Linked DNA regions of Neodiprion lecontei. The protein of the gene in region 2 purifies or fractionates together with the protein of the main gene of each other region. This does not show direct contact. Links are inferred from orthologs where the notes say so. Each region holds a gene or a part of one and is shown on either strand. Other genes may lie near its edges.

Region 1 (7,589 bases), on a different chromosome or scaffold from region 2:
CTTGAATAAATGACAGATAATGTGTTAGTTAAATTATATAAAAACGAAGATGAAAGAAAACGGGCAAACGTTTTTAATATTACTGCTTATGATTTATTATTGGATTCACACTCATGATACTTGGAATTGTCTAAAAAGAAAGAGGAAAAGAAAAACACAAATGAAAAAAATTAAAAAAAGAAAAAAAAATAATGTATATATAGAAGAGAAAAAAATCGCCTAGCAATAATATCTAAGAAAAATTAATTATGGATAATAATTAAAAACAGTACAATTGTAGAATCAGAGAATTTTTTGCTCGAGTATATGAATATAAACGAACGACAAGAATATATTAGCGATCTTTGGATTTTTTGCGCAGTAATTCTATTTTTTTTTTTTTTTCGACGTGAATTTCACTCTGTTTTTCTTAAATATATTTACAAAGTTTAAGCATGGCAGAAAGTCAAACTTCTGTCTAACTTTTTTTATGTACATGAAAAAATCTAAAGAGAGAAAAACAAGGGGGGAAAAGTATCGATATTTGCCTTTCTAAATTTCGAATTTTGCTGTAATATCTCGGTTACAAAATTCGGAATTACGAACCGAAGTAATAGTGAATTTCTTGATACAGCGAAAAATGTCGGTACGTTTTTTTTGCAGAAAAATGGTTTAAACTGTATTTTTGAAAATTTATATACCACAAAGAATTTCAGAATTTAACGCAGACAGCGAAAACAACCTATGTGAATTCGGCTTGCTTTTATAGCTTTGAATCGTTTAAAAATTAATGCGTGATTACCGGCACGTGCGCGCGTTTCCTATTTCCTAGTTTTTCGTAATAATTGTATACGTCATTTTTATACAATAGTACAGTAAACATCATTAACAATTAGAATCAATTAAAAATAGAATAATTAATACAGCACTACCATTTTACATATATACCTCGATGCCTATGCCAGGTATACATTCGACACTTATGTTTCATTCCCGAGTAAGAATTCACACATGAAATTGCAGTCGATAACTACGCCATAACTACGAATGATAACAATAAGTAAGATGGGGGGGAAAAAAAAAATAAAAAAAGAAAAGCTCCCTGAAATAAAAATATACACTCGATTCTATTTTCCATGTGAAGTTTTACACTCTTTGTTCTCCTGAATACCCTGGACATTAACTCGAATACGATAATTTGATTTCTTAAATTATGCATTCGAAGAACTTGGAACTTTGCATTTTTAAGAATTGCATACTCGAGCAGTTTTCAGGATATTGGACAACCGCTTGGAAAACAGAACCGTTTGATTCAACAGGCAAATGGCATTAATTCAATCAATTACCGGCGTATGTCCAGACGCAAGTGATATACCTATTTGTTACTAGCATTTCTGCACCTGTGCATTTCTCATACGACTAGTGACGATGATCACCACATATGTGTCTCACGAATCTCGCTTATGATGTGCCCAGCCTTTGTTAGTGCCTGTAAATGATATAAATATAATTATACACCATTCTTCAGCGATCGAATAATTGTATGAATTATATTTCCATTGTCTTTAAAGCGGGTCTCTCGATCGGTTAACGTTTCGAGACTCCCAAGTGAACAAACGATAATATTTGTGAGGAAAAAAAAAAAAATAAACAATGTACGCACTTTGAGCATATCAGCAGCTTCCCTACGCCTCACGGCGATGTGTTCGCTCTCATTAAGTAACGACTCAATGTGGTCCGTTTTGTACAGGTGAGTGACCAACTCGCTCTGTAAATTGTCCTTAACGTAATTAACGAGGAAATGCATAACAGCCTTCGGTACGCTGTCCTGAATTGATTTTCTAACTATGTAAAAATACGACTTGATAAGACGCTCTGAAAAGTATAAAATAACATTAATTATTTATAGTTGAACAAAACTGTAGATTAAAAAAAAAAAGACAAAGATCGAACCATTAATCATTCCAGATATCTTACCGATCACATCACAGTCACGTTGCTCACGATCACTAAGCTTCCGAGAAGTTTGCATCGGAACTTCTGGGAGTAGATTTACTGGTTTTTGCTGTGGCGATCCCCGCTGTAAATCCGAAACAGAATTTGGGCTAGGTGTAGGATTAGGAATGGGACTTCCATCCCTATATCTTACTGGAGATCCATCGATGGAATTGCCGCTTGTTGAATCAGACTTTACTTGCGGCAGCAAGTTGCTCAGCAGCCAATGATTTGCTTGTGCCTCTTTACTTTGTTCGTTATTAAATACCGGTGGCTCCTCACGATTGTTGACTGCTTTTTGATTCTGACAAAACATTGTTACCAAAGCTTTTATGTGACGAAAATATTTGATTGATTGTAGTTGATCAGGAAATTTTTCAACTTGCGAGATAAAAAAGACAATATAGGTATGTTCTGAGAACAATAAAATTTTCTCAAAATTCTGTTCAGAAACATTCAATGGTTGATAGAAATAGACGAAAATATAAAATTGTTCAATTTAAACCAAGAATGGATCAACTATTATTGCTCACTTGTTCGGAAGGTAGAATCGTACTGCCTGTAGAAGTATTTGAAGAAGCAGATATATGTCTTTTACTGGGTCTTACTTGATCCGCCTCTGCATTCTTTAATAACGAAGAGACTAGTGCCGCATCTTTGTGAAAATCTGGATGTTTGGTATTGATGTAAGCAAGCTCGATAGCGACCAAATTCTCCACCTTGTAAACAGATTCTCTTGGTTAATTATAACAAGTGCCGAAATAAGCGAAAAACTAGTCGCAACGTCATTACAAATAAGGTAAACCGTTCAGGCAAGTCTAAGTGAAATCGATGTCAATGCTCCATTTTCACAAAACGCAGACCAAAGTTGCGTGTAATGTATTTGAAATATCTTCACCATAGAATTAGTTGTCGGTAATCGTCGGCGTAGAAGATGCGTAACAACGTCGACGATCCGTTCGTGTAGTTTTGGAAAACGAAGCATTTCTTGCTGAACTTCGGTGCCGCAGTGTTGAATGATTCTCTGCATCTCTTCGTGAACTAGTTCGACGCAGCGTAGCGAAGGCTCTTCGAGTCTCCTGATCTGTCGCTTGACCAGGAGTTCAAACGAGACCTCGGGAACAAAGAGAGCCGGTCTGGGACCCGTCGCATTTCGAATTGCAGTCAAAATATCCATCCTAGTTAGACCAGCCAGTGGATGAATGGAATCTAGTGTTCGTCCAAATGTCTCGTGAAATATGTAGCAGATACGAGCACCTCCACAGAGCTCGGTAGTCTCTATATTTCTTGCTGTTCCCTCAATCGTCGAACAGTAACTGCTCGCAAACTTGGTTATTATCTGAAGCAGTGTCTGGCTCTTGTCTCCCACATCCTCTCCGTATGAGTTTAAAAGTGTTTGGAATTGGGAGACCATCACATTCACGCGTGTCTGTTGTTTGAATAAATAATTGTTACATGGCCGAAGGAAGGGACCAGATTTACATGCTCTCCTGACTAACAATTTAGCAAAGGCTTACCTTTAAATCGGGAAGGCAATCGCGAATATGATGCATTAAAAGTCTGTTGAGGGTTTTTGCTAAGTAAGGAGTGCCGTTTCTGTTTGCCAAAGTAGGATATTTTCGTTGCAGGAAGGCAGCTTCGTCCTTAAGAGCTTCCTGGATAGACTTGTTATTCATTATGTCTTGCTGTGAACGATTTACAACTCCTATGATCCCCAGCTTCACAGGAATCACCCGTCCGCACAGGATATCAATCGCATCCGTTCCTCAAACCCAAAATAACAAGCGACTCTCAAGCAGGGTTGTATAAATGAATGATAAAATAATTCCAAGAAAAATATAATTCTTCGGGACAAATTTTCAGATCAAGATTAGCTAATCAAATCAATTCTTAAACTTAACTCCAGTTTAAGAGAGAAAAAAGAAGGATAGAAAGAAATACGTCGCCACAAAATTCAATACATCAGATATCAGTTCAAAGTTACTATTTAGTTGGTCAAATTACCAGCGTCCATTAGATCCAGTTTAGTAACAACTGCGAGGGTTCTCCTTCCATCGGGATCAACGTCTTTGCTGAGTTTGAGGCTCTCGCTGGTCGCCATGTCCGTGTTTGCGGTTACAACGGCCAATATTATGGAATTTGGATTGCAAATGTGTTTCAGAACCAAGTTTCTGATTTGCGCTTCAATATCCTCGGGCTGATCGCCAACGGGGACCTTGGTGATCCCTGGCAAGTCGACGAGTGTCAGATTTACAACCGAGGTTGAATAAACCTTCAGATTAATCGGTTCAGGACAAATTCCCTTGTTGGATCCAGCCATCCGATTCGTTTCAGCCTCAATTTCCAATCTGATATCATCGAAGTTTGTAAATATTTTATTTTTAGTGTGCAAAAATACACCCCACTCGTCAAGGGTCAGCGTCCCATCTTCGGCTGTTCTGTGCTCCCTGTCATCTTTCGGCGCATAAACGAGCTGAAGAATCAACGGCCTACGAGTCACTATACCAGTCCCTCTGGGCAGAAACGAGCGGCCTACCAAACTCTCTATGACGGACGATTTCCCGGAGCTCTGCATACAATGGAAAACATATATTCTCATTTCATTTGTCGGATATTCTTTTCATTCTCAAATGGGATAATGTATGGATAACACAAGGGAATTGGAAGAGGTAATTCATCATAGAAATAAACATTTTCCCAAACTATTTGTGACTGCACAGTTTTCTGGAGTTCTAATTCATAGTAGAAAATTATTCCTGGAATTAGATTCATTTCAATTTATCAACAATTCTGATAACTCTCAACCTCAAGAATAAGTGTTTTCATAGTTTAGCACAGGGATTAAAATTTTTATCTTTGAAAATCATTAGCAATCACTAAATAACTAATACCGGAAGTGGTAATGAAAGAAAAGTAATTTTGGAATGGGATAACGTTTTTTTAAAGTTTCACTTGTATGTTCATTTTAATGATTGTTGAATTGGAAAAATAGTTTTTGCTGGATCCTGTTAAGAAAATTCATATTTGTTGTCATTCACAGATCATGCAATGTAACCTAACAATGAGAATCTAAAAATTGGAGAAATGTTTTATGAAAGTAGGCGTTAAGGTGGACGAATAATTTAGGAGTAAAAATGAAACCAAAGATGGATATAAAATTAAAAAATAGTGTTTTCAAAGAATTGATTTGCAAGATTCCATTAGGAAAAGAAAAAAAATATGTTTTCTTTCATCACTGGTCTCATCAGCAAAAAATAAATTCAACTGTAAGAAAATGCTAAAACTAGTAAAAATCATCGATAAAAATAGAAACTTTTAAACGATAGTAATTTTAATGAGTGAAGTAAAATAATTTTAGTATAATATTCTTCGAATTTGAAATACAATACCTGAAAAAGTCATATCGACGACAAGTAGGATCACAAAGATAAAGGATCAAGGATCCGAGGGCAAGATCGGGCTTTTAAGGAAGAAACGCGAGACTGTCTAAATCAATGGTTTGAAACGTACCGACACATTGTCAATAGTATAGGTGAAATTATAATTAACCTGTGTTCCGAGAACGACGATTTGAGGCAATTGTATGGCGTCAGCACCAACGGTGTTGAATACATCTTGGAGTTTATTTATCACTGGAATGAGGGCCTCCATGATCGACGACGACGAGGTTAAGAGTAGTCGAGGAATACCACGATTTCTGTACAGATTAACGGAGCCTGAAATTCTAGCCACCCGACGAAAATTACAAGCTGAAGAACAATCGGAAGATCGAGGATACTGCGATTCCAACAGTTACGAGCATCTACACCACCTTCAACAAATCCAGCTCGAGCGTATGCAGAGATCGATGGATTATCGTTTTATTTTACAGAAACTAAAACCTAGGCGGTTTCTGCATCGATCGTCGACGAAATCGAAACCTCTCATTAACCCAGCGATACCCTTTTTAACTCACTACTCCCGTTTAATCCACCGGCTGAATTCACTCGGCCAGGAATCGTCAAGCCGCCATCTTTACTCTCCTTAAGGCGGTCGATTGCGAATTGGATCGCGAATGGGTTTTAAGTGCGGCCGTTATTTGAAATTTGAATTTATTACAGACTGCACGAAGCCGCGATTATAATCACGGAAATCAATCTGCGTTCGTATTTTCTTTTCTCATCCTCTTTGCTACGCATGCGATCTTCAGCCGCCTCGCGCTTTGGATTCGATTCGAAACTGGGTAAAGAATTGCAATCTTTGGCCAGTTTTTGACGGACGGAACGGAACCTAACATAACCTAACCTGATAAAGAATTAATGGGCGTAAAGTGGCAGAACTAAGAATGGCAGTCGTTCGCCTATGCAGACGATATGCAGTAGCACTTGTTTTGAGTAGTTTAAACCAGATTTAAATACAACTCGAATGATATGAGAGAGTTTATGGCGATGAGTTAATGGTTCGCGATTGTTGTTAAGTGTCAATACATTTTTCGGGGGAAGGAGCCGGCGTCGGATTGATATTTGAATCAATCGTCGTTTGTTTGTATAAAAATTGACCTTATCGAATCAGGAGAAATGCAGGGGCACATAGAAATTGGTAATAATGATACATTCGGCGTAATTTTTATACATTTCGTGTTATAAATACTCAAACATCAGTCATTCGCATTGTTTTTAATTGATTCGAGAGATAGATGAGATTTCTAAACAAATTCATTCGAACGCAGACCACAGTGTTATGCAAAATAATCTATGATCTTTGGATAGATAACGTTATGAAATCGTATGATTTTTAATCTTTAAATATCAGATGACAATAACAGTCACAATAATATTTATTTAAACAAATAATTATTCTCTCTTCGGCAAGTTTTAATTTTCAGCATCGTGTTTCAGGTGTGATTCCGCATGATTTGCGACAGGAGGAAACCATAGTCCAGATTGCAGAAGCATTAGATTCGCTCAACTCTGCTGTAGCAAGCATATTTAGCTGTATCGACGAGCGGTTATCGGAAAATACAAAAAGGTATTCAAGACAAAGTTGTTTGTGTTCTTTCGTTATGAAATGTAGTTGTGTAGCGCAAATCTGGTCTTCACTCTCAGAGATTGAAGAAAGAATAACTAATTAGCGTTTTCATTTTTCACAAGGTAGAAGAAAAGAACTAATGGTTGGAAAATATACTAAAAAATCTCATCTTTGATACGTTGTTACAGATTAGCCGGTATAAAAGGTCGCGCTGTGAAACTTCAGGGCAGATTAGACCACCTGCAAAATAACCTAAGCTTGAAGGCGGTGAAGCTATACTCTGCAGCAAAATACCCCTCGAATCATGTCTACAGAGAGTATCCGCTGGCTCTAAAACTGCCAATTAAAAAGGAGGATAAACCGCCGAGCGTCTATAAGAGCCCAGTTCCCATAGCGCAGGAGTTGAACTCGCAAAATATCGTCACCGAAAAGTCAAAGGACGGGCGGTGGAACGTTGACATCAACATACAAGACAAGCTGCAATTTTATCACGTCAAAAGTAAAACAAATAAAGGCAAGGGCTCTGGACATTCTAGAGCTATTCCAGTTAGACCAACCTCTGTCAGTTCGCTACTGCTACACGACGCCAAAGACAACCAGTATGGTAA
Region 2 (6,819 bases):
TTTGCTTTAGCGTACATATAATTTTTATTTCAGAGTGGTGATGAGATAGGCCTAATTAAATGTGTCCGACAGTATCCTGACATGCTTTTTTGCAAGCGTTCAACAAGGATAACAAAACGTATTTCACACGGTTTTCCTGTCCGGAATGATAAATCGTGTCTAATTTCGGCAAATGAACAACTTCATAATCAAACTTAGCGATCAGTAAGAAAAATTCGGAAAAGTTGTGGAAAAATAAAAAAAGTATAGGAGCGAGAGTTGACTGTAAATATATTTATCGTGTTTCCACCAATTTTCTGAACCTTTCTCCATGATTTACACAAGCATGGTTACAGACGCTATCATTTCCCAAAGTTTGAAACGATTTTATTACTCGGGGGAAAAAGGGTGTAAAATACGATTTGCTTACTTGGACGGTGCTTCAACACCCCCTTACAATTAGCCCAGTAAATTCTGTTGTCACTCTCTCAGGTCATACACGAAAGCTTCTAAGCTTCATTTAAAAACTTCGTTATTGTATATCGAACGGCTTCGCTCATTGTCAAAGTTTAGCTGATTGTACTTTCGCCATTTTGATGTCTTCGATATAATGCAATATTGCTGTCCGTGTAATCCATAATTCGTCTCTGACATTGGCGAACGTACTGCTGTTGTTTATGATATATTTTAAACGCGCCTTTGATTGTTATAAACGCCATTCCGCCCTGCAACAGATTTATTCATGAGCTAAACGTTCCTACAGGTAAACAGCAAAGAAAAAATTCTCAAGTAAATTGCAATGGACGCATACCAACAAGGTTCTCTGGAAATTAGAATTTACGCTTTCAAAAAAGATTTTGCCGCAAATACTAGCAATCGTAGGAAGCAGAAGTGCACCACACAATACTCTAGTTGCAGATACTGGATCACTCATTGGTGGGACGTCGGATGATTGCAGTCTTTCATCCTCAATGTAGCTGAATATTGGATAAAAAAAAAAAAAATGAGTACATCACAACTCCGGATTGAAAAAAAATAAATTAAAACATAAACAATCAGAATTGATTTCTACGCACCTGCTTGGCAAAAAGTGTCTGAGGATTGGCACTTTGGAAGCGTGTCTTCTCAATAAACTCAAAGCCTGATCTTCCCACCTGAGCATTTTTCCAAGAACCAGCATAATTGGTATTGTAGGCAAGCCGACCAGCAAGACAAGGGGATCTGCCTGCTCCATCATAGTTAATCCATCTTTATGACCAACCACTTGCATCACAGTAACAGCACCGTAAGTAACAGCAGTCCAGTAAATTGAGCCGACAACTATACCAGCTGCTATAAATGGACAAACGCGGAATATCACGCTATCCATTGTATCCAACATAACAACCAAAGGACCTGTAAAACATAGTTATATCAACAGGTACTAGGATATTCTCCTGTGTTTCCATTCAACAATTTATAACTTTTCAAACGCTCTTGATGTATTAAAATGACTTCGTTACCCATGTCTGGATATATGATGATATACTCTGTGTTGCATTGCGGACATGAAACGTCTTCGCCTGCTCTTCCTTTCTGCTTGACATCAACCCAGCGTTGTATACAGCCTTGATGGACCCATTTTGTTGTTCCTCTACAATGACACGGCTTGACCCATGATGCAGTGGCGTCATCTTCATCGGTTGCAAAGCAAACCCAACAATACTTTCTACTAAAATTATACATTTTTCTTATATATAACGATTTCAGTATAAAGTTTCTTTTACCTGAAATGATTATCTACCAAATGAAACTGTGACACTGACATTCAAAAAAAATGTATCGTACATTATGAAAACATGTCTTACTCTTCTTCTGAAGTTAATGCTGTTGCAGTTTCTGATGTTTCATTAGGGGTTGATGATCCGTCGGCAACATCTACAGATAGTTCAGTGTCTGTGAGATTTGGTAATGTGTTTCTAGATGTATCATCTTCGGGAGATGATCCTCTCCATAGTGAATCTGATGTTTCTATTTTGTAAGTAAGTAGTATTTGGTAATAACAACATTTGAAATTCAATAGTAGATTTATGCCAACTTCATTAGGTAAGCAGTTAATAAAATGAAATTTCAAGTATAATTCTAAAAAATGCATAGTAATAAACAGAACAACTTGACTCTCATTAAAGCTACAGGAGTAAAATATTGTTATCAAGCCCTCTATCATGTCTTACCGCTATAATGTTCCGCTGTCGATTGACCAGAATTAAAAGTATTTCCAAGTCTTTGTAAAGTTTCCTCAACACTGGGAAGTCTTAGTATCGGCTGACTTTGATCGGGGTCAACTCTAATCACTCTGCCTTGGCTGTCCAAGCCAAACTCTGATGAGGATTGACTGGTAGTATCAGACATTGTGATAAACGAGACGATTATTTTCAGAATATGCTTAGCATTGCTGGCCCTAGAGAAATAAAATAAATGTTAATTTTTCATGGGATAACAGATTTTGAACACTGTGGAAGTTTCATTGAAAAAGCTCAGGACAATCAAGCCTTGTTCACTGGTGTTGAAAACTGGAAAAGTATCGTAGCTAAATATGCTTGAGAGAATCATTTTAGCATGAGTTATCGATGCATTCACATAGTTATTTACAATTGTTTACAGTACGTGCTGAAGTAGAAGTGATCAATTTTTCTTGTGACTTGTAACTTTGATCAGGTAAAATTGGAAACACATTTGCCCTTTAGAGGACTGGCCTGGCTCTTTTAGGATTCAGCAGATAACTTGAAAATTCCACTAGATTTGTTAACTATCTATGTACATAAATCACACCTCTAAAAAATATTGAATTTCAAGCGAAAAATGCTGGCCCTCTGAAGATTAACCATGCTCGTGGTTATCATAATCAATTATTGACTTTTGATTGGATAATCAAAAACAAAAGCTTACACAAAAATGAAATATTGGAAAAACTGTAATCAGCCTTACAATATTTCGTAAGAATAATCGTATTAGCTATTCGACAGTGCACAGTTGCAGTAGGTAACGTAACAATTGTCTGATTCGATTCCACAAGATTGACATCATGTAAAGTGGGAGCAACTTTTTTACGTTACAATAATTGTTATCACATGACAAGGTTCGAGGTATATTTTTCTTTGCTTTGTGTGTTGATCCAACGAAATACTTATATAATAATTTATAAAGTTTATTGGACGTCACTTTTAGCTACAAGGAAATGTCACTTTTACTTTGAAAATTTGATGTTGTCTACATAGAGTTTGAAATTTTTAAGTTATTTAATCCCAATAAATTTAGCGGATCAAAATTTGCGGTTTTTCGTTGAAAGGTAGAAGAAAAAATTAACATACACTTCAGTGTGTTGAGGAAAAAGTGAGGTTACTTCATTTACTTTATGGTGCAGTTTTTTTTGGTACTTTTTCTTGGAGATAGTTCAAGGTTAATTTTGTCAGTTAATTCTTGATGGTAACAGCAAAATTGAAGACGTGGGTTCAAAGACTTTATGATGTATGTAAATAAAGATTATAAGGATAAAAGTGAAGGAGTTTTTCACCTGACAGCATCGGCGTACGTTGCAGCTCTTATTTGCTTACTTACGATAAAAATGTAAAGCCTCGAGTTCTCAAAGTGCAAGATAATAATTATGAACCAAGTTCACTCTAAATTTCGTGATCTTCTCAGAGAAAACAAGTGTCCAAGTTTCGTCATTTCAGAAGATATGATTATTTCTCTGAGTAAGGTTGGTACTTTGGCTCCTTGGCCAGGGCGAGTGATGATGAATTGAACTGAGCAATATATGAAATTCACACGCAGATTGTACCACTTCGAGTTTGTGAATTCGATCGCATTGACGTCTCGATACTTCGTCGCGATCGTCGCGGGTTTCCGAATTTAAAACTCGCGAGAACCGTGCGTCTCAGTTTTCAAAATATCAACAGTGTGTTATTTATTTTGAAAACGAAAACGTGAACTTAAATGCAATCAGCTCGTGAATGAACAATACTCTAGTCGCATATTGAGAGAATATATTTGTGCCATTGTGACATTAAAACGAAGAAGTTGAACTAACGAACGACGGAGTTTAGACGTGGTTGAAACGTTGGTTGAATAATAAATACAGGTACAAGCAGATCTGCAGATGAAAAATAGCATCATTCGCTAAGATGACAACGATAATTTATTATGCACCGGAAAAATATGTCGCAACCTATGGTGGTAGAAAACTGAAGCCAAAGTTACCGAAATATTTGATTAAGCTGAAAATATTGACGATAAGGGAAAAGATTATCGCTAGGAAGTACGGACACATTTATTTACGTAAAGTTTTTGGAAAATATCATCCCTCGGAGTGCAGACGATATTACGGTATGAAGATGTTACGAAGATCTTTCGACAAACTCAAGGCGCATTGGTTCGAGGTGAAACAAATTCACAGATTAATATATAAAGCCGACGTCTTTTACAAGGGAAAATTAACTAAGAAAACATTCAGTGAATGGCTCTCTTACGCCGTGAGGGCGAAGATGATTAACAAACAGAAAGATATCGTAAGATGGAATTACGACGAACGATTATTAAAAATTACAATGTCTACTTGGAAAACAATAGCAAAGAAAAGGAAAAATTTTAAGATTATACGACACAACGCAATAGAATTATACTACTCGATGTACACTTTGCTGTTATTAATGAAACTATCGGATTATTTTCACGAGCAAATAAAACAGAGTTTACTCGAAATGAAATCCATTTTAATTGGAAGATCTATTTTCATGCGAAAATACATGAGAAGATGGAGATCGTATGTATTTCAACAGGTGGATGAATGTTTTATCATTGATTTACGTACCTTGATTGTGCTCTTCTCTCAACTGTTGGTTTTCGGGATGACGTTTACAAAACACTGATCAGAAAATTCTTCACCTTCATTTTTCAAAGTATATGTAATGCTTGTGTAGTTTATGTTGAATCTCACCTATTATTTTTGTTTATATTGCACAATTGATGAATTCTGTCCAAATTAATTCATTCAATGATGAGCGATCTTGTAGTTCCTAAAGCAAGGTTTGCCTAATTGGGAGAGTTCAGCCAATATTTCAACTTCCAGAAAAATGAGAGAAGTCTCAGATCCAAGGCAGAGAATTATTATACATACAAAGTGAGCGGATTTTATTTTGCACGTTGGCGGAAGTACGTTTGTTATAAATGTACAAAACGAGAAATCGTTCAGATTTGCATAGACCTGTACGAAGACAATTTATTAAAAATGGTGGTGCAATTCTGGAAGAATAAGTAATTGAGCAAGAATTTTCTTTGGAAACGAGAATTACGCATGATTTCAGTTATTTCATGTAAAAATATTGGTTATTGTATAAACGTCAATAATTTATGTAACATATTCTTCTCAGGACCACATTACAAATTATTGAAAAGCAACGCATGATGGTAGCAGCTAAATTTCACGATGATATGCTCAAGCGTAAATTGTTAAAAACATGGAGACGTTATGTACGTCACAAATTACAAGGGAGAACCCTGAAGCACAAAGCAAACTTTTTTTACATAATGAGATTGAAACAAAAAATTCTAGACGCTTTATCGAACAACGTTACCTGTTGCAAAAATACCAAATTGGCGATGCAAAAGTTGAAGCTGTTTTACAAAAGATTGTTGATTTTAAATGTATGGAATAAATGGACGATCATGATCGATGAAAAAAATGATTTCGAGTTAAGGGATAAGATTTTAATGGCAAAGTCTTTCTACAAGCGGCATATTATTGGAAAATGTCTAGAGAAGTGGATCGAATATAAGATATTTCAACAGAAAATAAAGTCATTGAATGCAAAGGCTTTCGATTTGTGTAGAACGTTTTACTGCAAGCAATTCTTGAACACGTGGAAAAAGACCTACAATAAAAAAAGACGAATCATCTTATTGGAAGAAAAAGTATTTGACATTTTTGTTCAAGTGGAATAATTCTATCGTTTTGTTTCAAATAATATTTTGATTTTTTTTCACAGGCTCTCCAATTTTTTAAAGACTCCTTACTGCAGAATGCTATTTCACGATGGATAAGATCTTATAATAACAGAATATTTATGAAAGCAAAGTACCTGATGTCAAGTCTACATTATGAGAAGAAAATAGTCGGCAAGTGTTTTACTGCCTGGATTAATTTTTGCAATGAAAATATTCGGGTGCAAAATTTATTGAACGAAGCAAACGAGTATTATTTAGAAATGCTGCAGCGGAAAACTTTTAAAATGCTATCAATGGTAGGTAATTGTTTTCTGAATGGATTGTAAAACGTGTTGTAAATTCATACAAATACGTCCAACGATTTCTGTCCAACGTTTGAAGGAGATTGTAAATCTGATGTGACTTTGTAAATTCAATGAAAACGGGATGATGAAGCAAATATTGTTGGAACCGGAATTCATGTCTGATTTCTAATGATTTATTGGTAATAAGTTCTTGTATTTTAGAATATAGAGAGAAAAAAAGTAAAACGGGAGAAGATAGAAACGGTCAACAACTTTTATAAAAAGACTCTTGTAAATAGAGTATTTGGAAACTGGCGGGAGCATTGTCTTCGGGTGAAAGAATTGAATAAGAAAGTTGAGGAATATAATCGAAGGGCACAAAACAAGTTGAAACTGAAATTGATTTTACAATGGAAACTATATGTAAATCATAAAAAATCTAGTTTCAGGAAAAGATCGGTGTCTAGATCTTACTATCAAAAAAAGATATACTCGAAAACGTTTGATCATTTGAAACACTACGTAAATTATAGAAGAAGCAAAAAAATTCGTTTGTCTTATTTGGAAGATAGAG

What was found. The genes of interacting proteins can lie anywhere in the genome.
Region 1: the proteins of E3 ubiquitin-protein ligase MARCHF5 (region 2) and dynamin-1-like protein purify together in Homo sapiens (affinity purification with western blotting, with the first as the bait; 3 studies listed by BioGRID). This does not show direct contact. The link is inferred for Neodiprion lecontei from reciprocal best matches to the Homo sapiens genes MARCHF5 and DNM1L.

Annotation. Positions count from the first base shown.
Region 1 is NC_060264.1:30,295,097-30,302,685, reverse strand, and holds dynamin-1-like protein, read right to left. Parts: upstream 6,001-7,589; 5' UTR 5,626-6,000; coding exon 5,524-5,625; intron 4,544-5,523; coding exon 3,979-4,543; intron 3,740-3,978; coding exon 3,492-3,739; intron 3,404-3,491; coding exon 2,873-3,403; intron 2,694-2,872; coding exon 2,508-2,693; intron 2,279-2,507; coding exon 1,957-2,278; intron 1,855-1,956; coding exon 1,643-1,854; exon of another isoform or gene 1,469-1,642; coding exon 1,412-1,468; 3' UTR 303-1,411; downstream 1-302. Other genes in the region: WASH complex subunit 1, read left to right, coding at 6,151-6,196, 6,852-6,981, 7,170-7,589. UniProt on the Homo sapiens protein: Functions in mitochondrial and peroxisomal division.
Region 2 is NC_060260.1:25,752,137-25,758,955, forward strand, and holds E3 ubiquitin-protein ligase MARCHF5, read right to left. Parts: upstream 4,957-6,819; 5' UTR 4,829-4,956; intron 4,797-4,828; coding exon of another isoform or gene 4,347-4,796; exon of another isoform or gene 4,333-4,346; intron 3,795-4,332; exon of another isoform or gene 3,533-3,794; intron 3,491-3,532; exon of another isoform or gene 3,330-3,490; intron 2,420-3,329; 5' UTR 2,371-2,419; coding exon 2,193-2,370; intron 1,990-2,192; coding exon 1,827-1,989; intron 1,691-1,826; coding exon 1,482-1,690; intron 1,375-1,481; coding exon 1,056-1,374; intron 957-1,055; coding exon 791-956; intron 705-790; coding exon 549-704; 3' UTR 507-548; downstream 1-506. Other genes in the region: protein SFI1 homolog, read left to right, coding at 4,347-4,796, 5,087-5,271, 5,388-5,928, 6,003-6,257, 6,468-6,819. UniProt on the Homo sapiens protein: Mitochondrial E3 ubiquitin-protein ligase that plays a crucial role in the control of mitochondrial morphology by acting as a positive regulator of mitochondrial fission and as an important regulator of immune response.